4 linked regions of the Cricetulus griseus genome follow. The protein of the gene in region 1 purifies or fractionates together with the protein of each later gene. This does not show direct contact. Links are inferred from orthologs where the notes say so. Each region holds a gene or a part of one and is shown on either strand. Other genes may lie near its edges. The genes, in order: Clk3, Gpatch8, Psme3ip1 and Psme3.

Region 1 (7,730 bases):
GAGCAGGGAGGCTAAGAAAATGGTTGTCACCTGGGTCCTGAGGGTCACCAGCCCAGGTGGAGAGCAGTGGGCAAGGAGGACCTGGTGAGAAGATGGGAGACTCATTTTCTGTGAGCATTAGCTCACAGCAGGCCTGGCTTAACTCCAGTAAAGCTGCTCACACTTTGTGCTCACACTTCTGCAGAATTTGGGCTTGTTCCAACAGGGCCTCTGGCACCAGTCACAGGTGGCTGGTCCAGCTTGGTCCACTGCTGCCTATTCTCTGCCAACCTGACCCAAAGCCCCTTTGACTGCCTCTTGTCCCACTTTGAGACTCTGCTGAGCACCTGCCAGGAAGAGAGGGGCCTGCTGTGCCCTGGATTCCAGGAGGCTGGTGGTTCCCTCAGCCCTTCAGTTGGGCTCAGTGGGTGGTCACAGAATAGTGGCCACAGGTGGCAGGAATCCCAGGGACAGCGGGCAGGGCTGGGTATGTGATCCATAGACACTATGCAATAAGTCCCTGCAGGACTATGGAGCAGTCCTGGCTGATTTGAGATGCAGAACTGGGGTCCATCCCACCCTGCACCCCTGGTCCAGGGTCCCTCAATGATTTGATTCACACTCCACATAAACATAGCCTCAACCCATCTAGTTTTCAGTTCTAGGCTTCCCTTAGCTATGGGTAACCTTCCTCAACCAAAAAGACTTTGATCCTCTCAAGAGCCAGGTTAGGAGGGGAACTGAAGCTGAAAACAGGATGATGTGTGTCTCTGGTCATGCTGGCAAACCCAGGAAGCCTGGGATTTGCAGTGTTGTCTGACTCAAGAGCCCACTTTCCCCAACCCTGCCACTGCATGGCGAGCTCCTCCAAGGACAGAGTCTGGAAACTGTAGGCTCAGGTGGACATTTGCAAGCTACTACTCTATGATATGGGGAGCCAGACGCCTTCAGCTCCTGCCCTCCATGCCCACCACTTTGGTGAGGGCTAGTTCAGCTGGTACCACCGTTTCTCACCATTGGCTTCTTCACCTATAAGGAAGGACTGGGTCAAGTCCTCCTGGGATTTCATCCACTCACAGGAATCCTGTAGGAAGACACTGAGGCCCTCCTGTTCCAGTGTCTACAACTCCAGCTTAGGAAGGGCCTAGTGGATATCTCCATTTGAGCAGATGGTGACCAGGCCCCTCTCCTACCCCACCTTTCATGGCTCTGACACGCTATATATTCCTCGAACTTTGTCCCTCTTAGGTTGGTACAACCTTCCAGCAGGCCCCTGCCCCTCTAAGCCCGTGGACTCCCTCCTTGGAGTCCCACAGCCCTTCTTGGTTGTCTTCCTACATCAGCACCACTCAAGGCCACTCTAAAACAGACCATGAGGACTAATCTCATACCCTGGCATGGCACCCACACACAACTCCACTCTAACTGGGTCCAAGTAGAAGAGAGGCCTCCACAGTTAGGCTGCCCATTCAGCAGGCCTGTGCTGAACTTGTTTTAAGAGGTTCATGGCCTTCCAAGCCAGGCTGTTTGGTGTGAGGAACCAAGGGAGGGTGGCATCACAGCACAGAAAGGGGAATCTGACCTCTCTCAGGATGCTTTCCAGGGAGGTGACCTTGGGGCTGAGGCTCAAATTTGTATCAATTCATTCCAGGCAGGACAGAGCTGGATACAGTGGAGGGGAATGCAAGGGCAGCTAGATGAGAGAGAGCTGGGGCTCAAGAACCTAGGGGGTAAAAAAATAAGGTGGAGAGAAACAAGAGGAGCTGTGGGGGTTAAATAAAAGCAGACAGGGGCATCCCCTTGGTGCCAGGGAGCCGCACACCAGCCACACAGAAAAGACTTATGGGCAAAGGGCACAGGCTGGGAAAAGTGTGGTGCCCGGGGCAGTGGGTGAGCATCGAGCCTCCTCCCTCGGGGGATGGCTTGGTCTGAGTTCCCTCTCATCAGAGTACTGGAGAGATGCTGCGGAGTGTATTTATGTAGGGAGGAGTAAATCAACACAGCTTCACTCCAGGACCAGTTCTTTCCTTCTGATAGATGTGAGTCCTTTCATGAAGAGAGACAAGAAAACAGAGCTCTAACGGGAGACCCTCATAGAGGAAGGCCAAGCTGCAGCCTCTGGAGTTGACACAGCTAGGAGACAGCTCCTGTTTAAGTCGAGAGGGGTGCTTTCTAGAGCCGGGGTGGGAGTGGGGAGCTTCCGGCAGGTCGCCTGGATTTTCCATGTTAGGAGAGCAGGCATGAAAATACACCATTCCTGATGCTTGGGATAGGGCAGGAGACAGGAGCTTTTTGAGGATATCGGCATTAAACTGGAGGATAATGGTTTCCCACAACCGTGGAAACGTGGGTGGGCAATTTTGGTGTGTGTGGGGGTGATGACACCACAGAAACCTGTGAATGTATGAAATTCTGTCAGTGTGGCCCTGAGCTTCAGGCGGGATCTGCATCTTCTGACACCTGGATTTTTCAGTATCTTTGGCTTCTGGGGTGGGACTAGAGGAAGCAGCAACTGAAGCTGCTGTTGAATTTCTTCGTGGTTAGAAGGTGACTATGGGGTCAGCTTGAGGTTACGTTAGCAATTTTAATCACCCAGCTTTTTTTACTCAGCTACTGTTTACTTTGGTGGTGATGAAGATGCCCGGCCACTACGTCAGAGACAGAGACTAAGGTCTCTAGAGAGACACTTTCAGCATGGGAGAGAGGCTCGGTGGCGACAGGGCCTGGTGGGCGTGCATCTCATCCAGCATGGGGAGCAGGGCACATGGGAAACCCTGGTTGTCCCCCGCCACCCCCCGATTCAGTGAGATCCTTAAGGGAAGGGATGCCCCGCCCTGGCCGGCTGCTCCAGCCTCTCGGGCCTCGCGTGGCGTGGGGCAATTAAGTGCCGCACCCGCCCGCTTGGCTGCGCGACGCGCGGGGGCGGAGACGCTGTCAAAGCGAGGCCTTCCCAAAGGACCTCGACCTGCTTTCTGGAAAAATAGGACCTCATGATCCTGCCACGACAAAAGCGTGGGGCAGTAGGTGGGAGGGGTCACGCCCGAGGCCGCAGCAAAAAGGACAGCCGAGTAACTCAGTGGCAGAGCTGGAGCGAGGCACGGCGCGGGGCTTTGTGTGGCGCGGGTTTCCTAGCCCAGCAACCGTGCTGATTGGCAGCAAGACGCTCTGAGGTGTTCAAGAGAAGGGGACGTACTCTCCTCAGACCCCACCGCCGAGGCTCGCGGGCATCTTCCCGGAGACTGCTCCGCAAGCTCGAGAGAGCTGGGGCGTGGCGCCAAGACTTTCAAAAACCCCGCACAAGCCGAGAGCAGAATGTGTCGCTTGCTTCTTGCGCGCAAGCGGAGTCGCGCCCGCCTTCCTCAGCCCGGGCGCACCGTCCGCTTTCGTCTCTAGCGCCCTCCCGGGCCCCGGGAGAACAATGCCAGTCCTCTCCGCGCGCAGGAAGAGGCTGGCGAGCACGGCCGGGCCGCGGCGGCGGAGTGGACCCAGCCTGGCAGTCCGGTGGGTTCCTTCTTTCGGCCCAGAGCCGAGCTCCGGCCGCGGTGGCGGCCGAGCACCGATGCGGCCTCGGGGGCCTACGTGCACTACAGCACGGCGAGGGGCGGGTCGCGGCCCGAGGATGCTCCCGGGACCTCCCGGAAGAGACCTCCACCGCGGCGACCCCGACCCCAGAGGGGCAGGTCGGTCCCCCAGAGCCTGCGAGTTGGGGGCTAGAGCGGCCAGGCCTCTGGGCCGGGTCGAGCCCGGGCCGCCGACGGCTGCGTCACGCGAAGGGGCGGTGCTGCCACGGGCGGAGGCCGGAGCCGGAAGCGGAAGAGGCGCTCGGAGTGGGGAGTGGGGCCTAGCCGCAGCCGGAGCCTGGGAGACGGTGAGTGTGGGCCCGAGCCCGCGGCCGGGCGGCTTGGGTGAGTCGGTGGCGACGGGCAAGCTGGTACGGGTACCTCAGCTCCCGGTCGGGTCTCGGCGTGTACCTTTTTCCCCTCTTCGGCCCACGTCAGGCCGCGGTCCCGACCTCTCACCCCTGACCCGCCGCTTCTCTCCCGGAGGGCGGTCACTGTAGACCCCTTTTCTGGATCCCGCGGTGTTGGAGGCGGAGTCCTAGCGGCCTCCGAGGCGGCTGGGAGGTTCCACATTGGGCCCCACGCGGGCCAGCCGGCTGGGGTCGCGTCCGACCTAGGCTAACCTGGAAAGGCTTTCCCTGCCCCGGGCTCGAGGCTTAGCCCGCAGACCTCCTCCGCGCGCCGCCTGGAGTTTGATTCTGGCCCAGGCTGGCCTTCCCTCTGGCCGCCGGGTCTTCCCTTGGCGGTTACGGGGAACGGGGCTCTGAGACCCCTGGGATCCGGGCGGAAGGAAGGGACTCGAGTGCCGGCCTCCGGCCCCTCGGTGTTTTGTTATGATGGAACCGCTCCATCCCGGAGAGTGGGCCAGACCGAGCCGGGAGTACAAATGTCCAGGCTGCTCCTCGGTCCGGCCGGGAGCCTCTATGCTTTAGTTCCGGGTGCGGGTGCCCTGATGCTTGGGTGGGAATTGCTTGAGTCTGGCCCCCGTCAAGGCGGAGTTGGCGGCCTTCCAGCTTCCCTCCTCCGTGCCCTTGAAAAGGAGGAGCGTTTTGCCCGGTGGCAGCCGCAGCTTGCGAGGTGGCAGGTTTGAGGTTGCAGTGGTGGGGCACTGCCAGCCAAAAATAACCATGGGTCGCTTGGGTGGCAGGAATCCGGGAGGGCAGCCGCTGACCTGGCTGGCTGCTCTTCTTGTCAGCCCGGTTCTCTAGCCAGGAGCAGCAAATGAGAAGCCAGCTAGGCCTGTGCTCAGAGAAAAAGCTGGCATCCTTAGCTTGGTTTCGTTGGTCACATTGCTTTTTTTCTTCATTGTACAGAGCAGAACCTCCTAAAGCATGATTGTGGCTCTTTAGTTTTAAAAAGCCTCTCTTTCTGCTGAGGTCTCAGAAAATCAGAGGGAATTTATGAGAAATGAGCCCAAAAGCCCTGGCTGGGATGATGACGTGGGACACCTGGTATTTCCCATATATCACCTGTTCAGGATGAGTTGCAAGGGAGGTGATCTCCATTACTACTACCCTGTGTGTGGTACTTAATGGCCGTCATACTTGGCCTTCTTTGCCAGGTGTTATCTTCATTTTCCTGGCATGGCAACAGAGGTCTAAAGTGATTTGTATAAATAAGGCCACAGGGCCAGTAGTGGCAGCACTGGGATTGAGTTCAGGGTTTTCTGCCGAAACTTCCTACCGGGTCCCTTGGAAAGGATTATAAATTAAGGCATTCATCATAACCCTGAGTGTTACCTGGAACCTTCTTAGGGTTAATGAAAGGCTATATTTAGTACTTATTATGGCCCAAACCTTTTCTAGGCTTTTGACTTTATAGGGCAGACATATTTAATTCTTCTAGAACCTTTAAGAGATTATTGTTTCCTTGTTTCAAGAGGAGGCTGAAGCTGAGTGGTTAATAACTTGTCTAAAGGCAAACATTGACGTGGTAGTGCCGTGGACTAGGTTGTCATTGGACTCTGAAGCTGTGACTTTCCTCTCAAGTAGACACGTGGTCATGAAAGATTTCTAGGTCTCAGAAGGAAAACTTTGGCCACGTGTATGTTAGACCATATCACCACATCCTCCAGATAGGGTGCTTTTTCTGCCTGGTGAGGATGGGCAGGACCACACTTGTCTTGAGGGAAGATATGTGCTCTGGTCAGTAGGATGTCTTTTGGGTCAGTTAGTGAGACATGAGATACTGCTTTCAGGCCATAGCTTGAGCACCTGCTGTAAGATAATTGGGAAAAAACAAAAACAAAATGATTATTTAGATGATTGTGAAAACAACAAATCTACAGATCTTATGTAGTGTTTATCTCTGAGGATTTCTGGGTGGCCCAGACTTTTCAGATGGAGGGTTGCTAGTGGGGAGATAGAAGGCAGTGCCTTTCTTAGGGTCCCCAGAGACTCCCAGTGGTTTAGATGAATTGGCCTCCCTGTCCTGCTCATACACAAGTAGCTGTTTCATTTTTGAATTGTGTTGGTGAGGTGAAGCAGCCTTGATGGATTTGTTTAAAAGGTGCTTGGCCAGGCAAGCCTGGGACTGTGCAAGACTAGAGGTTGGGTGTGAGCAATTGCTGGCTTGGAAAGCAAACAAGCAAAGGTCTCTTGCCTGGCCATCTGGTGAGGAGAATGTGAAGGGGCAGGATATGGGTGAAAATGGTACCATCCTCATGTAGCCATCTTCCTCAGCTGGTTGCTGATCCAGCTTGGGAGTCTCCTGTACTGGATATAAGTCCTCAGTGGCTAGGGGTAGTGAATCGAAAGCCTGCTTCTGCTTCCACGTGTAGACCTACAGCCACGTCTTCTAGGCACCTCCAGAGATAGTCTCACGAAGCAGTGATGGTCAGGGGAGCTAGACCCGATGGCAATGATGCTGTTGCTGAAAGTTGAAACACCTGGTATGGGACTCTAGTTGGTCTGAGGGCCTCTAAAATGTGCCTCAGGCAAGCAGCTTAGATTCTCTGAGGATTGTGGCACCTTCCTGGGCTGAGACTGGATGGGCCAGCAAGGGCTGGGCAGGCCCTCTGGGCCTATGCCCACTTGGCTACACCTTGGTAGAAGGTAGGGAATGTTGATGAGACATTGTGTCTTTGCTCAAGGTTTAGTGTTCTCCTTTCTACTGTGTCTTCTCACAACTTCGAGTTGAGTCCAGTTCAATGCTTTAGCAAGGCAGCTTGCAGTTTCTGAAACCACTAAGTACATTGGTTCCATGCCACCAGTTCATTAGTTTCAGGCTCCTAGAACATTTAGGTTATAGGATTCCATAGGCAGGAAGACATTGAGCAAAGCTCTTCTTTCCCCCTGTCCTAGCATCTCTGTGACAGTGCTCAGAATCCCCTAAGAGATCTACTTCTGTATCTGGGCCCTGACTTATCCAGTTCAAGTGTTCAGGCCCCTAGGCCATGCTGGGGAGGCACCTGTTTGTTTATTCACTGGCAAAAGGATGGAGTCACCCATTGTCTGCTGTTCTGTTACTGTGACCTCAGAGTTCTTCTTTACTTCATAAACCCGGGGGTAGGGGGGTTGCCCCTAAATAGAACAATGGGCCTCTTCTTCAGGAGCACCTGGCTGCACCAGGCAGCCCTGTGGCTGGAAGCAGTGAGCTGTGTGTTGAGCAGGGCTTTCTCTTTCTTGTGGCCTAGATGCATCACTGTAAGCGATACCGTTCCCCAGAGCCAGACCCATACCTGAGCTACCGCTGGAAGAGGAGGCGGTCTTACAGTCGGGAGCATGAAGGTCGACTACGATACCCATCCCGAAGGGAGCCTCCCCCAAGGAGATCACGGTCCAGAAGGTGAGTGGGAGCTGGTTTGGAAGGAAGGAAACACTTGTTTCCTCAGCGAGATGAGCAGATGGCCCAGAGGCTCTGGTGGCTTTAGGTTCTTTTAGATGACTGCTTCTGCCCAGCTGCCTGTGGATCCTTGCCTATTTCCTGGCCTCAGCAGAAGCTACCCTCCTTGTCACCCTTTCTTTGTCACAAAGTGGTCCTTCTTCTCCCTCTGTATTTTCTACACCAGTACCCCACCTATGAGCCTTCCTCAGTGGGAAGTAGGAACATTGTCCTAGCCTTAGAAAGACTGGTCCCAAGTCCTGTCTGAGTCCCCAGACCAAAGTAACAGTTGTACCAGGCTAGTCAACTCTGTCACTGTTGGAGGCCTTTCTCTATGCTTGCTCACTTTTTTTTTTTTGCTTCCTCACT
Region 2 (7,678 bases), on another chromosome or scaffold:
TGGCCCCTTCCTCTTGCAGAGGATTCCAGATTCAGTTCCCAGCCCCCACACAGAGGATCACAGCTGTCTGCAGATTCAGTTCCAGGATATCTGATGCCCTTGACTAGCCTCCTCTGGCACCAGGCATGAACATAGTGCAGAGACATACATGCAGGCAAAACACCCCCACACATAAAATACAGCTAGATAAATCTTTAAAATAAAATGTCATTGTCAGGGCAGGCATGGTGGTGCATGCCTTGGGCAGGAGACCAGGAATTCAAGATCATTCTCATCTACATAGTGAATGTGACATCAAACTATGCTACAGGAGACCCTATTACGAAACAAAACATTAACATCAGGAAAAATAACCAAAGTCAACAGAATAAAATATTTTAATTTCCAAGATGCCCCTCCCATTAAGTCATATGCTTTTATTTTATGGTTTTTGTTATTTTGAGGCAGGTTTTCTCTATGTAATAGCCCTAGCTGTCCTGGAACTAGCTCTGTAAACCAGGCTGGCCTTGAACTCACAGAAATCCACCTGCCTCTGCCTCATGAGTACTGGGATTAAAGGCATGTGCCACCACTGCCCAGCTCACATTTATTATTTTTTTATGAGTGTTTGGGTGTATGTATATCTGAGTACTGTTGAGTAGCTATTTCCTCTAAGGTAAAACCTTCAATCCTGCAGGGAAACTCTTTTAGCTCAGGGAATAAACAACTCAAAACTTCAGGAAGTTCCTGAAGTTGATGAGATTCACTAGACCTCTCCCTCCCCAAGCATATACAAGTAGTAAGGACTGATGAGGAATATGCTAAGACTGGATCAGCTACCTAGAAGAGTCTCAGACAAGCTAAACCACTTGGAAGAAGCAGGGACCAGCTGAGCTTGTACAATGTGCTCCAGGCCCCCAGTTCTTGTGAGCTGCCACCCATTCAGGGGTGGACTTTGATGATGCAGCTCCGTTTGAGTCATTTCTCCTTCTATAAGTAACCTGTCACCCATATTCCTATAGTAATCCCAATGAAACTCATTCACTCACTAAGTTGGACTTTGGCGGTATCTGTACTTTAGTCAGTTCTCGTTTCCTTATCTGGGATAAGCAGATGCTTATTCATGTCTCCTGAGGAATAATGTTTCACAATGTGTAGCACATGTTTGAAGTGCCTGTGGAGGTCAGAAGAAGGCATCAAATCCCCTGGAACCAGGGTTACAGGCCATGTGGGTGCTGAGAGACCACGGGATTGCTGGGAACCAAACCTGGGTTCCTCTGCACGATCAGTAAATGTCCTGACCTGCTGAGCCATCTCTCCAACCTCCAAGATTTCTTGCTTAGTCTTCAAATATTCAGTGTGGATGGGGTTTCCAGAATAATGGACTTTTCCATGGGGTATTTGGGCAGGACATGATCTTTATGTTGGGGGTGATGCCCTCTCCATCCCATGAAGACCTCGCTTCTGTAAGCCATTTTCTCAGGGAGAAGACTTAGATGATTTGCTGGGGTATTGGTGTAGTGGTTTGAATAAAATGGTCCCTCCCCATAGGCTCATATATTTGAATGCTTAGTTTCCATCCAGTGGAGTTATCTGAAAGGATTAGAAGGACTAGGAGGTGTGGCCTTGTGAGAGGGAGTGTGTCACTGAGGGTGGCTTTGAGGTTTCAAAAGCCCATGCCATGGCCAGGTCCAGTGTCAATTCAATCTCTCAACTTCTCTTTCTCTGTCTCTCTCTCTGGCTGTGGATCAGGATGTAGCTCTCAGCTACTGCACCAGGGCCTATCTGCATACTGTCATGTTCCCTGCTCTGATGATAATGGACTAAACTTTTGAAGCTGTACATGAGCCCCCCAATTAAATGCTTTCTAAAAGTTGCCTTGGTCATGGTGTCTCTTTCCAGCAACAGAACAGCGACTAAAACAGCTGAGTTTTTTTGCACAGATCCTCTCATTTCAACAAATTATCTCCTTCTTGGTTACTGCTGGCATGTTAAGGTTCAGTATCTGTTTGGTTAGCATCTCTAGAGAAAGCCTCCAGCAGCTGTCTGAATGGAGAAAATTATTTAGGATCCAACTGCGCCCTAGACTGGCTTGTAACTAGTCCTTGTGTGTTCATCTCTGCCCACACCTGCACCTTCCCTGGTACCAGGTGCAGGCCCTTGAGGCCAGCTAACCAGACCAGGGAGAGCTCAAGGCTTACTGAGACACTTTGTCTTAAAAAAATAAGGTGGCAGGAAGACTGGAGAGATGACTCAGCTGTTGAGAGCACTTGCTTTTACACAAGATCAAGGTTCAATTCCCAGCACCCATATGGTAGTTCACAACTGTCTGTAATTCCAGTGCCAGGGAATCTGATGCCCTCTTTTGACTTCCTTAGACACCAAGCGCATACAAGGTACACATACATACTTTCAGAGAAAACAGTCATACATGAAGTAAAATGAATAAGTCTAATAAAATCAAATACCCCCTCCATAAAAACATTAAGAAAGCAGGAGCTGGAGTGGTGGTTATGCAGGTAAAAGCGGCTTTTCCCTTTACAGAATAACCACATAGTGGTTCCTAACTGTCTATAACTCTAGTCTCCAGGGATCCAACAACTCATACATGAGCCTCAAACATATATGGAGGGGAAAATAAGAAAAAAAAAAAAGTCAAGCTCTTTGCAGACCCGTGTTATCGTTTTTCCAAGGTTGTGGATCCCTTGTTATGATTTATAGGTAACTTTGAGACAGGGTGTCCTTTCCATTAAAGTGCCCCCCCCCTGCAGTTTCACTAGATTTTGCCGAGGCAAGGTCTTTTTGCATTCCAAGCTGGCTTTGAACTCCCTGTGTAGCCAAGGATGAGTTTGAACTTCTGATCCTTCTCCTTCAGCCTCAGTTGAGGCTTTTACCTAGTTTTAGTCTTTGACACTTGCTAATATTTACAACTATTAAGTCATTTTACTGGCGATCTGGCTTCCCGCCTGGAATGGAAGCCCTATGAGAAGAGATTTTTTTTTTCCTGCCTCTCAAGTAATCCTATTATGTGTCAATTTAAAAAATACTCTCCTTGGACTTGGGAGTCGAGCCTCTGCTACATGGAGAGTTGGATGGAGTCCAGCCTGGGCTACAGGAAACCCTTATCCAAAACCAATAAAAACACTTAAAAGTACTCTGGCTCTAAAAATCATATCTCGTGCTGCTGTATACTATTATTTGGCCAATACAGGATGGGCTCGATCGTAAACAAGAGCAGAAGAAAGACTACTAAACACCATTAAGCGAGCAAGCCCTGCCCTGCTGATCTTTCCCTCCGGAAGCGCTTGTGGCGCTCTGGAGCAAGTGCGCATGCGCGGCCCCGCGAGGGTCGCTCCGGGCCGTGCGCGAAACCGGGTGGTGCGCGAAGGTTCCGCCTCCGGGCCCGCAAAGCGCCTGCGCCCTCGGAATTCCCGTCGGGACGCATTCTTGCTCCCCCCTCCCTCCCTCCCTCCTAACCTTCCCCCCCTCCAGCTGCGCGCGCCCGGTGGGCGTGGGAGGAGGCGTGGAAGCAGGGAGGGGGCGGGTGTCGCGGGAGGGAAGGAGCGAACCGGAGAGCGTCGTCCTGAGGAGGAGTGAAGGCGGCAAAATGGCGGACCGCTTCTCCCGCTTCAACGAGGACAGAGACTTTCAGGTAAACACGGGCGTCTCCGAGGACCCCCCGGAGGGCTCGCCGCGAGCGCGGGGCCTCCGCCTTCCCGCCTCGGCTCTCTGTCCTCCCGCGCTCTGCTCCGCCTTGCAAACCGGTTCTCTTTTCTGCCTCTCATTTCTCCAGGGGCCTCCCAGCCTGAGATGAGGCCGCGTCTCCGGCTTCATCCCCTCCGCTTCGCCCCCGAGACGCCGGCTCCCTCCTCTTTGGCTCCTGGCTCCCCAGCGGGCTGCTCTGTTGGGGCTGCGCTTGGCTTGGCCCGGGGGCCTGTGCAGGCGCAGGGCTGGCCCTCAGGGGACAGGGCTGGGGTTGGGAAGGCTTGGGCCAGTGGTTTTCAGGCCAGGGCGTCCGAACCCTTCCTTGGATTTTGCTCGCCCCGATCACATTGGGAATCTTTTCTCCTCCTCCCTCATTGTGATAAACAAACCCTTTATCGTCTCTGTAACCTTGTCCTCGCCCTGGAAAAGGGTACCCTTACTTATCAGACGCCTTTTTGTTTAGGCGAGCATTGAGCTTTCTCTGGGCATAAATACTGCTGTTGTTTTCAGGCCGTTAATTGGGCTTGGGAAACAGTAAGGTATTAGGACTGTGGACTGGTGTAAACTTAACTTCGAATCCTACCAAGATTTGTAAGGGGTATAATAATGGCCTTCCCAAGCGTGAGGTGGTGACTCGTGCCTAAACCTTCATTTTTCTTCGTTTGCAAGTGTTGATCTGGAAAGATGTCCCTACGATGGCAGGCGTTGCGGGGTGGGGGCAAGGCCGAATTAGAATGATCCATCTTTTAACTGTTGAAATTGTTACTACAGAAATAATTGGAATTATAAAGGATTTAGTAGCCTTTGGCTATTTCTACGTAAAATACCTCCTCAGAGATGCAAATCACTGCATTACTACCGCATCTCCTGGCAACAGCAATTTGGGTCAAGGGATGAGCCTCGGAACTCAAGTTTTTATCCATTTGAGCTTACTCCAAGCAACACAGGACTACGGTAGCTGTGTGTCAGAAGGCAGTTTGAAGGGTTTGAATTCTTGGAGATGATTGGGTTGGTAGATAGACAAAACAATTTAGCAGTTTTTTAAAAACTGTCTAACAGTCTTCTGCGTAGAACACTGGGAATTTTGCAGCAGTAAGGAATTTGGGGGTTGCTGAAAACCCGAGTGTGATCATGTGCCTGCTGTATAGGCTGCAGCACCAAACAGCATCTCAAGGCGTTTTTAAGAATGTGTCGAAGGTCCACAGAAGTTTGAGGCAGTTCAGTTTGGACATTTGATACCCGAGAAGGTGTTTTGTTTTTTGTTTTTGTTTTTTTGAATAGCAAGCCCAATAAAGCATGTACAAAGTGCATGAGCTTTTATTAATTTTATTAACTTAAAATTATTTAAGGAGATATACATACGGATGATGAAAACCTTTGAATGCTTTTCAGAGTTGAGAATTTCAAGGTGACCTAATAAAATTGAAACCAGACAGGGTAGACAGTTTTGAGCAAAAGTGGCCCTCAACTATTTCATCAGGCTCAAAGAGGATTTTGAATGAAGATTTTGAAAACAGGGTATCAGAATTTGAGTGCTGTCACTTAGAAACTAATAGGAACACGTTTTGATGCTTTAGTAGAGTTCATATACAATCTGATTTTATGGGCCAGTTAGATGGCCCAGTGGGTTAAAAACCCTTGTCCCATAGGCCTGACACCCTCAGTTTGGTCCCTAGAAGGTAGGAGAGACCCATTCCAGGAAGATATCTTCTGACCCTCACATAATATACACACAAGATAATAATAAATTTAAAAATTTTAATTTAAAAACTCACAAAAATCTGATTTTAGGTGGTTGAAAAAGGAAGAGGAAGAAGAAATTAAATAATAAGCAGCTATGGTGGTGGTTCAGGAACTTAAGGCATTTACCAACAAGTCTCACGCCCTGAGTTAGAGTCTTGGGATCTAGAAGTGGAAGGAAAGAACCCAATCAGATCCTGAAAGTTGTCCTCTGATGCTCCCCATGAAGTTAATACAATAAAAACTTTTTAAAAATCAAAAATAGATGCCTTGAAGATCCTTGACATTACTACATGCCATTTTAAACTGTATTTTCTGCATTTGCTCTGACATAATCCACTTAAAATTTTGAATGTCCTAGCATTTTTCCTAAATTGAATATTGGAAATAGTTTTTTTTTTTTTTTTTTTTTTTTTTTTTTTTTTTTTGAGACCAGGTCTCATGTATCTCACAAAGCCTTAAATCTGCAATATAGCCATGGATGACCTTGACTTGTGAATTCCCTGTCTCAGCAGTGCTGGGCTTACAGGTGAGCTCTTCCACACCCAGGATTTTGTGCATGGTAGTAGGCAAACACTTTACCCACTGAATTAAATCACCAATTCAGAAATGGAATTTTTTTTTTCTTTCCTAGCAGGGTTTCTCTGTAACAGCACTGGCTGTCCTGGGACTAGCTCTGTAGACTAGGCTGGCCTCAAACACAGAGATCACCTGCCTCTGCCTCCCCCGAATTATTTTTTTTTAAATTGCATTCTGTATGTATGTATGTGTGTATGTATGTATGTATCTATCTATCTATGAGTGTATAATGTGTGTATATATAGCAGGTTCTCAACTGGAGAGTTACATTCCCAGTAAATTATTATGCTATCATTTCTTTTTTAAAAATTCCTTTAAAAATACTTAAGGGCAGAAGCAGGCGGATATTAAGTTTGAGGCCAGCTTGGCCTACAGAGCTAGTTCCAGGACAGCCAGGGCTACAAAGAGAAAGCCTGTCTCAAAACAAAACAAAGCAAAACAAACAAACAAAAAAACACAAAACCTTAAAGGCTCAGGGTATAATAAGTTTTAGTGGTAGAGTACTTGCCTAATATGTGAAGGGCCCTGGATTTGATCCTTAGTACTATGGTGAAAATAGTAATAATAATATAAAATGAGAATAGTCAATATATTTATCTCTGGGTGTTTTAATAAAAGAACATTGATTGACTGTCAATAATGTCCTTTGGTTTAAAGCCATTGAGGGAATGAAACCTAGTAAGATGCTCAGTGAGTAATGTTTCAAGCTTAGATTACTCACAAGTTGAATGTAGCCTCCTTTGAAGGTTTTAAGTAGTTGAACATAGTAGTGCAAATTTATATGTCTACCATTTGGGAGGCAGAAGTAGGAAAATTGTGAATTTGAGGTCAACCCTGATACATATAACAAGACCCTGTCTTTAAAAAAAAAAAAAGAAAAGCCAGTTCTGACAGTGTGCTCCTGTAATCCCAGAGCTTTGAAGTTAGAAGTAGGAAAATTTAGGACTTCAGTATTATCTTTGACTACATAAGCTAGTTTAAAGCCAGCCTGAATTATGTGAGACCCTGTCCCAAAATTTGAATAAGGTGCCAACAAGATGTGTCAGCTAGAAAAGTTACTTTCTGCCAAGCTTGCCTGATGACTGAATTTGATTCCCAGGACCCACATGCTAGGAGAAAACTGACTCCAACAGGTTTAACTCTGACCAGCTCCACATGTGTGCTCCCACACACAAATGCATAAATAAAATTGAAAAATGTTAAGAAATAAGAAAAAAAAGCATTATTCTCTAGGTTTTGTGTATATTATCTCTACCTTCACAATAATACTTATGGAGTAGCTGGTATTATTCCCATTTTTAAATGAAATAATTGTGGCATAGACAGTTCAGTAACTTGGTTAATACTTCTGTTACATCATAGGGCTTGAAATTAGACTAGCTTTTCTAATTATTATTATTATTATTATTATTATTATTATTATTATTATTATTGGTTTTTTTGAGACAGGGTTTCTCTTTGTAACTTTGGAGCCTGTCCTGGCACTCCCTCTGGAGACCAGGCTGGCCTCGAACTCACAGAGATCCACCTGCCTGCCGATGCCTACCAAGTTCTGGGATTAAAGGCATGCGCCACAACCACCCCACATCCGATTTTTGTTTTTTAAAAATGATGGGTATATGTGAATATCTGAGGGGTTTGTACTTGTGAGTGCAGGGCCTGTGGAAGCCAGCAG
Region 3 (6,502 bases), on another chromosome or scaffold:
ACCAAGCTTTTCCCTTAGGTGAGAAGGGGGAACCCAAAAGGGAAGAATTTAGGAGCTGGGAAGCAAAAGCAGAGGAAAAAAAAAAAAAGTAAGGATTAAAGGCACTTCTGTTAAGAGTGGGCAGGGAGGGGGTAGAGGTGGGGTCTTACCTCAGTCTGAGGAATAAACTTTCTACTGGGCCCTAAGACCTCTGGAAGTTGTACAGGTAGGAAGTCAGCTATCTGTCTAGGTCAGTCACATCAGCCTGCCTGCTGTTTAGAGGGAAAATAAGTGACTAGAATTCCAAGTCTCTTTTCTCCAAGTGGGCAGTAGGCCTCAGGTAGACAAATGGCAGGAAGTGACTGCAATAGGTCGTACAGTCGTACAGTCCCTTGCCTCCCAGATAGAGCTGGCAACTGAACACTGCTGGCTCTCTGCAAGTGGTCTCAGAGCTGTAAGAATTCTGCCATCTGAGACAATGTACAAGGCTTAGAGAAACAAACCCCAACCATCCTTTTTACTTTTTCTTTTGAGACAGGGTTTCCTCTGTGTAACCGCCCTGGCTGTCCTGGAACTCACTCTGTAGACCAGGCTGGCCTCAAACTCATGGAGCCTCCATCTGCCTCTGCCTCCTGAGTGCTGGGATTAAAGAGGTTATGTGCCACCACCACCCAGCTCCTTTACTTTCTCACTTAACTGTAAAATTCCAGTTACTCAGGCAGGAGTACATCTGGTGGGATTAGACCCTAGACCCTCCTCAGAGGTCAACACCTGCAGATGCTCAAGTCCTGGCTGCAAAATGTCCTGCTTGCACAGAACCTACTCATGCCTTCCTGTATACTTTCAGTCGTTCCTAGCTCACTTATTCCATTTACATCAACTTATGCCCCCTACAGCAATGTGATATCCTAGAAGTTGTTACATTGTCTTGTTTAGGGAATGAGAAAGGTATATCCATGTTGAGTACAGAGGAAAGGCTGACTGTGTCCTGAAGGTTAAAGTGGGGTTTCCTTCCATTTCTGCTCACTCTATTCTTCTGTGGTAGGAACTGTAGGTCTGTCCTGGCTGCTTCCCCTGTTGGTTGGCCTGCTTTGCACAGAACTGGTGTTTCAATTACAGGCCTCTACACCATTTGACACAATGAACTATGGTTAAAGGGCTACCAGTGTGACTCAAGCTTTCCTGAGACACCAAAAGCAGAGACCAGGCTAAAGTTGGGTATAGTGGCACTCATCAGTAATCCTAGGACTCAGGAAGCTGAAGCAAAAGGATAAGCTTGTAAGCCACCCTGGGGTACACAGCAGACTCTGTCAAGAGGAAAAGAAACTTGGGTCTGAAGACTGTTCAGCCCAATCAGCTGCAAATAACTGGCAAGCTAGAAGCCTGAGATGTGGCACAGAGCAAGAGCTTGCTCTAACAATTTCAAACCCCACAACCCTGTCACCTGTTTTCAAAATCAACAGAGGTACACTAGTGGCCTCTGAAAAATCAAGCTACATGAAACTGATGACTGATGTCTTGGTCTGCCTCCTGAAATGGTTCAGGGTTGCTTTGGATACAGGAACATGCTGCAGGAATGACAGCACAGTCACAGGAACAATGACACAAAGAGGCAGAAGGTGCTTGCAGTTTTACCTAAATGTCTTGTCAGGATGGGGCTGACACGCCTGCACTGCCAGTCAGACAAGATTAGCACAGGGAGGCTCTGCAAAGGCAAAGATGGCAGCACTTACAGGAATCCACGATGGGTGAAGGAAAACTACCATCTGCTGGTGGGCACCAGTGTCAATACACTACAAGGGGAAAGGAAGGGCTGGATGAGATCCAAGGCCCTCTCTACCCACGTTAAAACAGAGGAACTTCCTCTGCCTGCCAGTATGTCAGTGCCAACACATTCGGTGTGTGTCTCACTCGTCTCACACCCATAGGAAGGAAAAAAACAATGGCTACTGGAACCAGGAGTGAGAACTCAGGCTCATTCTGCAGCAGGAACACACAGACTGTCAGATAGATGTCTCCCAACTGGAGTCCTGCACACCTGCTCCCTCCCTCCTCCATGAGACAGAAACAGGCAAGACCTGCTGCTCACGGCCCAGGAGCTGTTGTCTGGGAAGTGCAGGGACAGTGTAGGTGTGAGTGTGGGTGTGGGTGGTGGATAAAGGAAAATACTGAGGCAACACCTTAGACTGGAAATTCCTTCACAGTCAAAAGCTACAACTCTATGTACAAACAGCAGTGCCTTGGAGGAGTAGAGTATAGCCATAACAGGCATGTCCCACTAGTTTGCAGTCTGAGGATTCCAGAAACTGCTAAGCATTAGTCATCTCTTTAACATAGCTATCAGCAGTTACAGCTTCTGGCTATGATTCAATAAATTTGCTTCTCTGATGTTTAGAATCTTAAACTATTTTTTTTATTTCAAAAACAAAATCAAAAACAATTTTCCATGGAGAAAAGGTGGGCAGAAGATGGACATGTCATTACCAGGTCCTTCCTACCTCCTCAGGCTTACCAGGTCCTTCCTACCTCCTCAGGCTGGGTGGAGGGAGGAGAACATGGAAGGGCATCACCTCAAGGGCTGTGGGTGGCACATAGCCTTGTGGGTATGGTTTGCAATCTTTAGTCACACAACATCCAGGAAGGGTTAATTCTAGGACAGTGCTCATGGCATCAGCTAGTCAGCCCCTTTCTCTCTGCCCACACACAACATGGTAGAACCAAGCAGCCCCTTCCCCTGTAACAGAGTATTGAGATAATGTCTGTCCTTGCTTCCTGTGCTACTGGGAAAGGAGAAAAACAAGAAAGCAACAAGGTCCAGTGAACTCTTGCAAGCCAGCTGGTACCTGTCCTTGCACAGGTACATTTCTGAGGGCATTTCTGAGACTTGCCTGCACCCTAACCCCTCATATCAGTGGGACAGGTTCAGTCATCTGCACTGGAGTTTACAGAAAAATCAAGCAGAGTTTGAGCCACAAGTGGACTGTGGCACATTTCTGAGTTAGGTTAAAATGTTACATGTGCACAGGAAGCAGATGAAGTTTTTTGAGGGAGATGATGTCGAGGCAGGACAGACATCTAACCCTCTGGGGAGATGCTCCCTGTGGTAATGTCAGGAGCTAGGGTGCTTCGAGGAAGGTGTTGGTTCGGAAGATGGAAGAGACTATCTTCCCTGTAGCATTGATGGTGCCTTCGCTGTCTGAACTGGACTCGGAGTCACTGCTCCCAGAGTAGGCACCCAAGCCAGGGAGGATGCCGATGCAGACAGCAGCAGACGGACAATGGATGGAGGGTCCGCTCAGAGAAGAGCTTCCAAGAGTCATGCAGGATGGAGCCTCTGCCAAAGGGAAGACAGGAAGTCAGTTATCACACTTCCTAATGCTGAAGGGTCATCCCCAGGTCCTGGACACCATGCCAAGGCTTTCTACAGAAAACAGCCCCAGTGCTGCAGAACAAACTCTATGAGTTACTGGAGGCTCTGGACATCTTCGTGTTACAGGTGAGGAAGCTGACAGAGAAGAGAAAACACAGAGTTGAGACTCAGAGTCTGCCCACTCTCTTGCCACCCACCAGTTCTGAGGAGTAACAAACCTCATAGAGTCACCTATCATAGTTTGATTCCCTGTCTTCACAAGTCATGATATTATAGCAAGTGTGAATCAAGTCTGATGTCTTCCTTAGCTACTGCTGTGGCCCTCAACTGGAGGCTAGATCAAGAGACCAACTGTGAGTGATACTAACAATTCTATGATGCCATACTTAGAGACCAGTGTATCGACTAGCAGAGATTATCCATACAGTTATGCTCTTTATGAGGCATTTTCCCATGATGGGGAGATGGGCACCTCAGAAACTCATTTATCACTTTCGCTTTTTAGTCCTTTTATGCTGAGAGCCACTGAAGGAAACATTTAAAACCATGTACACTGTCACAATATATCGGAGCTCTTCTTTCTAGGATACGCACAGGGATTCTGTTACTCCAATGACAAAGGCCTCAATCTACAAAATGCAGAACTTGATGATGAAAGGAAAAGTTAGGGGCATGGAGAGATAGCTGAGATTAAAGCATATACTGTGCTCTCGAAGAAGACCTGAGTTGAGTTCCCAGCACACACAGCCTGTTCACAACCTATAATTTGGGACCCAGAAGCCCTCTGATGGCCTCCATGGCATGGCATTCATGCATATACACCCAGACATATACGTATACACGTAATTAAAAACCAAAATCTCTTTTAAAAAAATTCAAACAAACCTAAATTGAGAATGGTACTTCATTCTTTCTTCCCTCTGAATGTTTCTAGCCTCATTTAGTCACTGTAACAACTTATATGTAGGTGTTCTCCCTGCTTACTGATGAGGGAAGTCAAATAAGTTGCTAAGTACACAGGTTAGAGTATAAAACACTAAAGTAAACCTTTGCCAGAAGATGCTGCACTAAAGTGATGCCAAAGCTCAACGGAGCAGAGAAGGTTCAGTTCCTAAGTCACCGCCTGGGGCTGACAAGGACATCCCTTTTGGTGTTTGCCTTCTATAAATCTACATCTCACTTGTGCAGATACCTCAAGAGAATGCAAGAGACACTGACTCCAAGGCTATATTGAGAAGAGCCATCAGCTGTTGGACACAGAATGCAGCTCAGGGTGTCTGTTCCTTTCCAGTAAGCAACAGAGAAGCTGCTGGGGATAAGCAAAGCTCAAACATCTCAGAAAGCACAAGAGCAGTGACTGGGAGGCAATGGCAATGCTTACAACAAATATCACAAAAGCTAGCAAGTTTAAAGATATAAAGAGCTTTTCTAATCTGTTAAAAAACAAACAAGCTGTGGGGGTACCGGGGAAACGAATTCAGTGGTAGGCGCTTTCATTTGTCTAGCATGTACTAGGGCTCTGAGTTTTTTGATCCCTAGCACTGCAAAAAAAAAAAAAAAAAAAAGAAAGGAAAAAAATCAAGAAGCCATCCATCAACAACCAAAAAGCACAAAGAGCAGCAGGATATAGCAGTACATACCTATCATCCCAACACTTGGGAGGCTGGGACAGGAAGGCTATTGCAAGTTCAACACCAGCCAGGGCTATAAATAATAATGATGATGGTGGTGATGACAATAAAAAAATAATGGGTACCCTGGGATATAATCAGTTAGTAGCATTCTTGTCTAGCATGGTATGAAGTCCTGGCTTTGATCCCCAACATTGCAAAAACTTGGCATGGCAATTGTGCTAGATCATTTCATGTCAACTTAACACAAACTAGAGTTACTTGGAAGGAGGGAAACCTCAACTGAGAAAATGCCTCCATAAGATCTGGCTATAGGGTAGTTTCTTAATTGGTTATTGATGGGGGAGGGTCCAACCCATTGTGGGTGGTGCCATCCTTGGGTTGGCGTTCCTGGGTTCTGTAAGAAAGCAGGCTGAGAGATTTGCGATGTGATCCTCCAGCAAGGGAGTTCGCCTGATAAGAGAAAATGAAAAGCTGTGGATTCCTTCCAGACTAATATGGTTTGATCAAGCAAGACCCCTTGAAGCAGTGACCCAACTGATCCTACATCCAAAACAGCTGAGAAGATACAGCCTTACAGACTACAAAAACAAGGACTTGGTCAGATTTCTGTGTTTTATCATGATCCCCATGTTTATATGGTGGATTACATTGATGGATTTTCGTATGGTGAGCCATCCTTGCATCCCTGGAATGAAGCCTACTTGATCATAGTGGATGATTTTTCTGATGTGTTCTTGGATTCGCCAATATTTTCAAGAACTTCAAATACAATATTGAAGAGATATGGAGAGAGTGGGCAACCTTGTCTTATACCTGATTTTAGAGAAATCACATTGAAAGACAAACATGAGCCTTCATCCAGTAGCTGATGGAAGCAGAAGTAGAGATCCACAGCTAAACACTGAGCCAAACTCCTGGAATCCAATTTCAGAGAGGGAGGAGTGACCAACAAAGGGATCAAGACCATGCTGGGAAAACCCACAGAAACAGCTGACCTGAACAAGTGGGAGCTCATGGACCCCAGTCTGACAGCTGGGGAACCAACATAGGACCAAACCAGGACCCCTGAATTGTGGGTGTCAGTTAGGAGCACTGGGCAGTCTATGGGGCCTCTGGCAGTGGAACCAGGATATATCCCTAGTGCACAAATGGACTTCAGGAGCCCATTTCCCATGGAGGGACACTCTCTTAGCCTAGATACACAGGGGAGAGCCTAGGTCCTGCTCCAAATGACTTGACAGATTTTGATAATCCCCTCATGGAAGGCCTCACCTTTCCTGTGGAGTGGATGGGGGGGTGGGATGGGGGATTGGTGGGGGACATGGGAGGAGGGAGGGAGAGGGAACTGGGATTGATATGTAAAATAAGATTGTTTCTAATTTGAATAAAATTTACAAAAAAAAAAGAAAGAAAGAAAGAAAGAAAGAAAGAAAGAAAGAAAGAAAGAAAGAAAGCAGGCTGAGCAAGCCATAAGGAGCAATCCAGTAAGTAGCACCCCTCCATGGCCTCTGCATTAGCT
Region 4 (7,729 bases), on another chromosome or scaffold:
TGATTTGTGTCAAGATAACAAAAACATGGAAAAAAAAAAAAAAAACTAGGGCTGGAGAGATGGCTCAGAGGTTAAGAGGCTGTTCTTCCAGAGGTCCTGAGTTCAATTCCCAGCAACCACAGGGTGTCTCACAACCATCTGTAATGAGATCTGGTGCCCTTTTCTGGCCTGCAGGGATACATACATACATACATACATACATACATACATACATACATACATACTAAACAAATAAATCTTTAAAAAAATCTAAGCAGGCCAGGTGATAAGGAATGTCTCATTTGCTTCTGTCTTTTCAATGACAAATGATCCAACACCATAAAATGGAGGTGAATGGAAAGGGCTAGTGGAGAATGAGAGCTCAGGTGGTATCACACATTTGCTTGAGATTTGTGGACATGATTTAATTGATGGATCACTATACTAAACTTTTGGGAAGGGAGTGGGGGAAAGTGTATCTTCTCACAGCCTATCTGAAGACAAAGTCATCACTTGGGAACAAAGCCATTATTTCGATAAGCATATCTAAAATAGGACATATCTAAAATAGGATGAAGTTAATTTGGGAGAGAATTCTTGACGTCAAGTAACAGTAACATGGAAAGTTACCAGAGATATGTCAACAGAAAGGTGAACCGCTAGAAAAGAGTGTGCAAGGTGGGTGGTGGGATGGGTATTTACTTGCACTTGAATGGGAAAGGATTATCTAAAATAGATTCCTGCTGTTGTCTACTTACCTTTACTTTGTCATGATTATCAAAATTTGCAGTTGTATTGCCGCTTTACTTTCGGTGTTTTTCCTAATATGAAACATTAATGACAGACAACCAGAAACCTTCTAGTTTTCCAGACTTGTTTTGTTCCATAGGATAGCCAATGGCCACATGTTCCTATTTAGTATTACAATGCGTCATAGCTTCTGTGGTTGTTTTGTTAGTGTGTGTGTGTGTGTGTGTGCGCGTGTATGTGTGTGTGCGCGTGTGTGTGCGCGCGCGCGCGCGTGTGTGTGTGTGTGTGTGTGTGTGTGTGTGTGTGCGTGTGTGTGTGTGTGCGTGCGTGTGCTTGCTTGCTTGCTCATATGTGCACAAAGGTCAGAAGACAGTTGGTTCTTACAGCATGTGTGCCTAATAGATTGCTTTACTTCGTTAACGCCTTAATACCCAATGTGTCACCCATTTTCCACTCAGTTGTTTGAACCCAGCGAATTAGAAATCCATAGACACAAGGGGCTGACACATTGTAATATACATTAGATTAAACATGGCTAAAGCTAATTAAAAAAAAAAAAAGATTGGGGGGCTGGAGAGATGGCTCAGAGGTTAAGAGCACTGGTTGCTCTTCCAGAGGACCTGAGTTCAATTCCCAGCAACCACATGGTGGCTCACAACCATCCTTTATGAGATCTGGTGCTCTCTTCTGGTGTGCAGATATACATGGATGCAGAATGGTGTGTACATAATTTAAAAAAATCTTAAGAAGGAAGGAAGGAAGGAAGGAAGGAAGGAAGGAAGGAAGGAAGGAAGGAAGGAAGGCCGGGCGTTGGTGGCTCACACCACTCGGGAGGCAGAGGCAGGAGGATCTCTGTGAGCTCGAGGCCAACCTGGTCTCCAGAGCAAGTGCCAGGATAGGCTCCAAAGCTACACAGAGAAACCCTGTCTCGAAAAACTAAAAATAAATAAATAAATAAATAAATAAATAAATAAAGACTAGGGCTGGAGAGATGGCTTGGAGGTTAAGAGCACTGACTGCTCTTTCAGAGGTCCCGAGTTCAATTCCCAGCAACCACATGGTGGCTCACAACCATCCATTATGGGATCTGGTGCCCTCTTCTGGTGTGCAGATATACATGGAAGCAGAATGTTGTATACATAAAAAAAAAAAAAATAAAATTTAAAAAAAAGCCTAACCCACATACGTGAAACACACAACACACATTTATAGTCTCTGTGTAACACTGTTCTGGGATCTCCACTTTATTGCATTGAATAACCCATACTAAGAGAATAATTTGGTGAACGAAGAGATGCTGCCTCAGACTTCCATTGGAAAATGGTAACAGTTTTATCCTAGAACTGGGAAGGTTTGAGTCTAGGGAAGTCGCGGGAAACAATGTGTTGCTTTAGATAAACCACAACCATCTTCTGGGCGTGGATTTGTCTGGTATCTGAGTCTGCGTGCAGGAAAGAACGGTGCAGGGGAAGTTGTCTTGTGTTTGGTAGTAGCCGGAGGTAAAAAGGGATGCGAGGCGGGAGTCAGGGAGTCAGCCCGGAACGCTCAACAAGGGAACGGGGCCGCGGGCTTCTTCAGTCGACGTCACTAGGGCGCGACGGCTACTCTTCTAAGAAGCAGCGGCACACGAGGTCCCACAGTGAAGTCGAGTTCCGGAACAACAGGACACATCACTCTGGAGCCTCCGGGAAGCCTGGGTCTCAGCATCCCTGCCCCAGGTTTACCACCACAAGGCACATGGGCCGGAGCTCCAAGAGCCCCATCAGGAAGCTGTAGAGCCCAGCAGCAGAGCGGCTGCGCGGGGCACGTGCTAATCCGCGCCGGAGTCCCGGCGACTGGCTGTGACGCAACTTCCGGCGTGAGCGGCGAAAGCCGGGAGGGCGAGCGAGAGAGCTAGCAGGCAGCAGGCGGCAGGCGGGCGGGTGGCCGGCCGGCACGGAGGGAGGGAACGAGCAAGCGGTGAGCAAGCCAGCGAGGGCGGCCGGGTCCCGAGGGCAGTGGAGATTCCTCAGGCCCCTCCGGCGCCCTCCCCGGAGTCCACAGCACCTCCAGCACCCAGCGGAGCGGACACGGCCCTGCCCGGCCATGGCCTCGTTGCTGAAGGTGGATCAGGAAGTGAAGCTCAAGGTAGCGGCACAGCTCCGGGCCTCCTCATCCCTCCATTCGAACCCCCAGCAGTCGGACCTTCTCCCCACTCCCCATGGTCGTCTTTGTCTCCCTGGGGACACCAGCTCTGAGCTTCCGCTCGGCTCACCCAGCCCCCCCATGCCTGGAGACGGCATTGGAAAAGACGATGTAGGGTGGCTTTCTGCCCTGCTTCTGGTGATGGAGCGCACCAGGTTCTCCTCTTCGGACACGTGTTAAACTCAGTGCTTTAGGGTAGTGACAGGTGGAAGTCCCCCGGCCCAGCCATGTCCCCGCCCCCGGACGCTGCCACTGACCCTGCCTTTGGAGGCTGGCTTACTGCGTATGAAAGGCCAGGTCTAGGTGGGAGTTGGCACGTTTGTGAGCTCACCTCTTCCAGTTTGACATCTGTCTGCTTATCAAATTCAGAGGGCTTCAGACAACCGGAGGGAGGGAGGGAGGGGACTAGGGGAGGGGGGTAGAAGGGGATAAGAGAAAGGGGAGACTGACAGGTGCTGCCCTCCAGCTCCGACATTCCTCTCCTGAGATGGAGAAATGGATCCTCAAAAAAATAAAGTATTTGCAGTCTGGGGGCCTTTCACCTTCCCATTATAATTCCAAGGTGAGGGCAAGGCAGCTGGATTTGGGGTTCCCCATTCTTGCCCTTGTGTCACCAGGTTCTGAATTGCTCTCTTTGTTGATTTTAGGTTGATTCTTTCAGGGAGCGGATCACAAGTGAGGTGAGTGTTGTAAAGGAGAAAAAAGGTGTTGGCTAATAGCTGGGGGTTTCCCAAAATCCGTAGGGAGTGACTACCCCATGTTTATTAATTCTTGTGTATTTTCTCTGTCTAGGCAGAAGACTTGGTGGCAAATTTTTTCCCAAAGAAGTTATTAGAACTTGATAGTTTTTTGAAGGTGAGAGACATTTTTTATTTCTTTAAATTACCTTTGTCTTGGAGACAAATGGGGCAGATGGTGTGATGATTCTGTTGTCTTGTGTACTATAAGGCACTTGTTTCTTTTCTTTCACAAGAAATACTTTTCTCTCTCTTGTTTTTTTTTTTTTTTTTTTTTTGTTTGTTGGTTGGTTTTTTTAAACTTACACTAATACTGTTTTGGGGTGAATGCCTCTCTTTCAGGAACCAATCCTAAATATCCATGACCTAACTCAGATCCACTCAGACATGAATCTCCCAGTCCCTGACCCCATTCTCCTCACCAATAGCCACGATGGACTGGATGGTGTGAGTGTCTTGCATTTATGTTTGTGTTTTTAGTATTTTATTTCTTGGTAAGCCTCGGGATGTACAGAGGATGTGGGCTTTGCTTGTGGGATCTGGGGTTCTGTCTTAGGTATGGTGACTCCAGAATACTACTTTTTTGGACCTTTAGTTTCATTTTTAGCAAGGTGAGTATGTTAGTGCTGCAGTGCTAGCCCCGAGTTTAATTAGGTCTATACTAGCTATATTTTTGTTGTTGATGGTGGTGTTTTGTTTTTTCCCAGCTACCTGACTTTCCCCAGGCTTCTGAATAAGACTTTTTATTCAGTGTATTGTGTCTTGCAGTGGGAAGAGAAGCTATTCTTGCTGCAGTCCCTGTCTTTACTGTCTCTTTAGCACCTGAACTTTGCTTTGTCTTTGAGGCAGGGGTCTGACTATGTAGCCCTGGCTAACCTGGAACTCCCTATGTAGACTAGACTAGGTTAGCGTCAAACTCATTGAGATCTGCTGTGTAAACGCTGGGGTGAAAGGTGTGTGCCACTGTGCAGCTAATGCCTATACTGTATTCCATGTACATTGTGTTGTAACACCAGTGATGTTATAGTTTTGTCTTAAATTCCTGTGATTTTTTTTTTCTGCCTTAGAGATCAAGCCTAGGGTCTTGTGCATGGTGTATAAATGCTGTACCACTGATTTATATTATTAGCTTTCAGAACTATCTTAATTTAATTAGGCTGAGTGTGGTGGCTTAGCATTCAGCTTGTCTGAGGAAGGAGAATTGTGAGTTCAAGACCAGCCTGGGATACGTAATGAATTGAAGTTGGAACTCATACTGGGATCCTTCTTCCAAAATAAATCTGCAATTTAAGGCAGGAACCATCTTAATTGCCTTAGTCCCAACATTTCCTAGCATACAGAAGGTACTGTTCTGAGTTTGTTGATGAAATATTGTCTTTGTTTTAGAACCAACAAATTTGTACATACCCCCTCAATTATTCTCTACCTGCCTTGAATGCTTTCTTCTTCCTCTTTTTAAAAATAGAATTTTCCCTGCTTTTCTACTGTTTCAAAACACAAACACTATTTATTGTGTGGATAGGGAGCATACCAAGGCTTTCCTTTTGCCGTGTTGGTCCCAGGAATCAAACTTCATTTGTTAAGCTATGTAGTAAGTGCTTACTTACTATCTGTAGAACTTCACTGGCCTCTTCAGCTGCTCTTTTAATGTGTTCTATTTGTTGTAAATTTGACCTTTCCAAGTAGAGTGCAAGTTTGTGGCAAGAACCTGTATTGAAAGATATATATATTAAGATAACCTATGGGGTCCAGGAAGGAATTAATTAAGTTTGCTTGTATAGTATCTTGTAATGGGTATGTGGTGTTGAATGGAAGCTAATTCCTGCTTCTTTATATCCTTAGCCCACTTACAAGAAGCGTAGATTGGATGAATGTGAAGAGGCCTTCCAAGGTAAGAGCTGCCACCTAGTCTAAGCTGACAGCCCTGCAAAGCAGGATGGTTCGGGTTTTCACCAGCACAAGAAGTGAGGTCTGATTTAATTTCCCAGGACCAACACTTGGCATCTTCCTACAGTGGTCATTACTTAGTCTCCTAGTACACCAGGGGGGTCTGACTTAGTGTAGATGCCATCAAGAGTGCTGGGAGGCAGAAGCCACACCTCACAACTGTCATAGGAGTCCCATGCTCTGTGTCATTTGCCCCATGCAGGAGTAGTTGCCTGATTCACTAAGGGGCCGTGGACTCATTTAGCTTTTGAAAGATAAAAGGCAAAGATGAATACATCTTCTATGTCTAGGGAAGAGGAAAAGCTGGAGGGTGCCTTCACTTTTCCACTGCCCTGAACACGTGAACTTGATGTATCTTCCAGGAACCAAGGTGTTTGTGATGCCCAATGGGATGCTGAAAAGCAACCAGCAGCTGGTGGACATTATTGAGAAAGTAAAACCTGAGATTCGGCTGCTGATCGAGAAATGTAATACGGTGAGGCAGAGGCTAGTGACCTATGACTGGACCTTAATAGCTCCACTTGAACTATGGAATGATGGGTGGGGCGTGGCAGGCTAAGTCTCTTGATTCCTTTGTTTCCGGCAACAAGCGTCATGTAATTCGTGACTTTAGTAGGAAAGACCAAGGTCCTTCTACATGTATTTTGTCATCTTACACTCTAGGTCAAAATGTGGGTACAGCTCTTGATTCCCAGAATAGAAGATGGGAACAACTTCGGGGTGTCTATTCAGGTAATGTGTTCATATTGCAAACTGGGAGCTGCTTCCCCTGCTTTGACTGTTTTCTTTGGTGCTACTGTAGAGTGATGTGGAAGTAATGTGACTCACCTGTTCTTCCCCATAGGAGGAAACAGTTGCAGAACTAAGAACTGTCGAGAGTGAAGCTGCATCTTATCTGGACCAGATTTCTAGGTACAGCCGTTTGGGCTGTGTCCAGGAATTGGGTTGGTGAAATGGGAGACATGTTCAGGGCCCCCTTCAGCTGCTTCTCTTTTTTCCTCTTTCCAGATATTATATTACAAGAGCCAAATTGGTTTCTAAAATAGCTAAATATCCCCATGTGGTAAGTAAGGGTTTGGGAGTCTGAGGTGGGGTGGAAGGGTAGGTAGGATGCTTAGGAACAAGCTGTCTGTGGGCTTTGGGCCTTGAAGACTAGCCTCCCCTCTTCCCATACAGGAGGACTATCGCCGCACGGTCACAGAGATTGATGAGAAAGAATACATCAGCCTCCGTCTCATCATCTCAGAACTGAGGAATCAGTATGTGAGTAACATCACTCCCTGCACGTAGCTGTCCTGGCTCCTCTTAGTTCTGTGCTAATTTCTTAAAAACTGGGGTTCAGAATAAAATGAGTAGAATAGCCAGGGTAGCCTCTGCCTATAACCCCAACTGCTCAGGACAGGATCCAGACTTTGAGGCTGGCTGGGGACATATAAATAGTAGTTCATCAGCACTGTGTGGAGAACATGAACTTACTGAGGAGTCTAGTGTGGTGTTTCTGATCTGTATAGGTGGGGGTGGTATACAACATATGGCTGGTTAAGCATGGGTCTTGGAATTAGAAAGAAGGCTTTGTAACCAAAGTCCTCATGTAATGGGTGATTTGTTTGTTTTTAGGCAGGGTCTCACTTTGTAGCCCAGGCTGTCCTGGAGCTCACTATGTTGGTGTCAGGACTCACAGACTCACTGACTCTGTCTCCCAAGTGCTGTGATAAAAGATGTGTGCCACCACAACAAGCCGATTTTTAAAAAAAATATGTCCACGTGTCAGTATGTGCAGGTACAAGTGTAGGCACCTGGGGTTTCCAGAAGAAGGTGGAGCTAGAGTTTGTGGCAGTTGTGAGTTGCCTGACATGGGTGCTGGGCAATCAGTTCTGGTCCTCTGCAAGAGCAATTCCTGGCTGCTGAACCATCTTTTCAGCCTGGAAAGTGTGATCTTGATCATGTTCAAGCTTAGACTCTAGTTTCTTTTCTGAAATGGGAATTAGATTACTGACTACAAAAATTTTTAGCAGTAAATGAGGCAGCAGCACATAAAAGGACTCTTATTACTTCTTAGTGTGGTTCATATTGGAGCAGATTGGGGAATCTAGGGGGTAGTATTGCCCCCCTTCCCTGGGTCTGGTGATAGA

What was found.
Region 2: the proteins of Clk3 (region 1) and Gpatch8 purify together in Homo sapiens (affinity purification with mass spectrometry; 3 studies listed by BioGRID and IntAct, counting the BioPlex papers as one, with this or other methods). This does not show direct contact. The link is inferred for Cricetulus griseus from reciprocal best matches to the Homo sapiens genes CLK3 and GPATCH8.
Region 3: the proteins of Clk3 (region 1) and Psme3ip1 purify together in Homo sapiens (affinity purification with mass spectrometry; 3 studies listed by BioGRID and IntAct, counting the BioPlex papers as one, with this or other methods). This does not show direct contact. The link is inferred for Cricetulus griseus from reciprocal best matches to the Homo sapiens genes CLK3 and PSME3IP1.
Region 4: the proteins of Clk3 (region 1) and Psme3 purify together in Homo sapiens (affinity purification with mass spectrometry; 5 studies listed by BioGRID and IntAct, counting the BioPlex papers as one, with this or other methods). This does not show direct contact. The link is inferred for Cricetulus griseus from reciprocal best matches to the Homo sapiens genes CLK3 and PSME3.

Annotation. Positions count from the first base shown.
Region 1 is NC_048597.1:169,397,953-169,405,682, reverse strand, and holds the start of Clk3 (dual specificity protein kinase CLK3), read left to right. Parts: upstream 1-2,948; 5' UTR 2,949-3,397; coding exon 3,398-3,847; exon of another isoform or gene 3,848-3,884; intron 3,885-7,173; coding exon 7,174-7,325; intron 7,326-7,730. UniProt on the Homo sapiens protein: Dual specificity kinase acting on both serine/threonine and tyrosine-containing substrates. Phosphorylates serine- and arginine-rich (SR) proteins of the spliceosomal complex.
Region 2 is NC_048600.1:115,554,521-115,562,198, forward strand, and holds the start of Gpatch8 (G patch domain-containing protein 8), read left to right. Parts: upstream 1-3,433; 5' UTR 3,434-3,586; coding exon 3,587-3,631; intron 3,632-7,678.
Region 3 is NC_048596.1:170,803,513-170,810,014, forward strand, and holds the end of Psme3ip1 (PSME3-interacting protein), read right to left. Parts: intron 3,314-6,502; coding exon 3,096-3,313; 3' UTR 2,370-3,095; downstream 1-2,369. UniProt on the Homo sapiens protein: Promotes the association of the proteasome activator complex subunit PSME3 with the 20S proteasome and regulates its activity.
Region 4 is NC_048600.1:114,357,399-114,365,127, forward strand, and holds the start of Psme3 (proteasome activator complex subunit 3), read left to right. Parts: upstream 1-2,387; 5' UTR 2,388-2,814; coding exon 2,815-2,856; intron 2,857-3,560; coding exon 3,561-3,593; intron 3,594-3,705; coding exon 3,706-3,768; intron 3,769-3,992; coding exon 3,993-4,097; intron 4,098-5,492; coding exon 5,493-5,541; intron 5,542-5,959; coding exon 5,960-6,072; intron 6,073-6,260; coding exon 6,261-6,329; intron 6,330-6,441; coding exon 6,442-6,509; intron 6,510-6,605; coding exon 6,606-6,660; intron 6,661-6,773; coding exon 6,774-6,860; intron 6,861-7,729. UniProt on the Homo sapiens protein: Subunit of the 11S REG-gamma (also called PA28-gamma) proteasome regulator, a doughnut-shaped homoheptamer which associates with the proteasome. 11S REG-gamma activates the trypsin-like catalytic subunit of the proteasome but inhibits the chymotrypsin-like and postglutamyl-preferring (PGPH) subunits.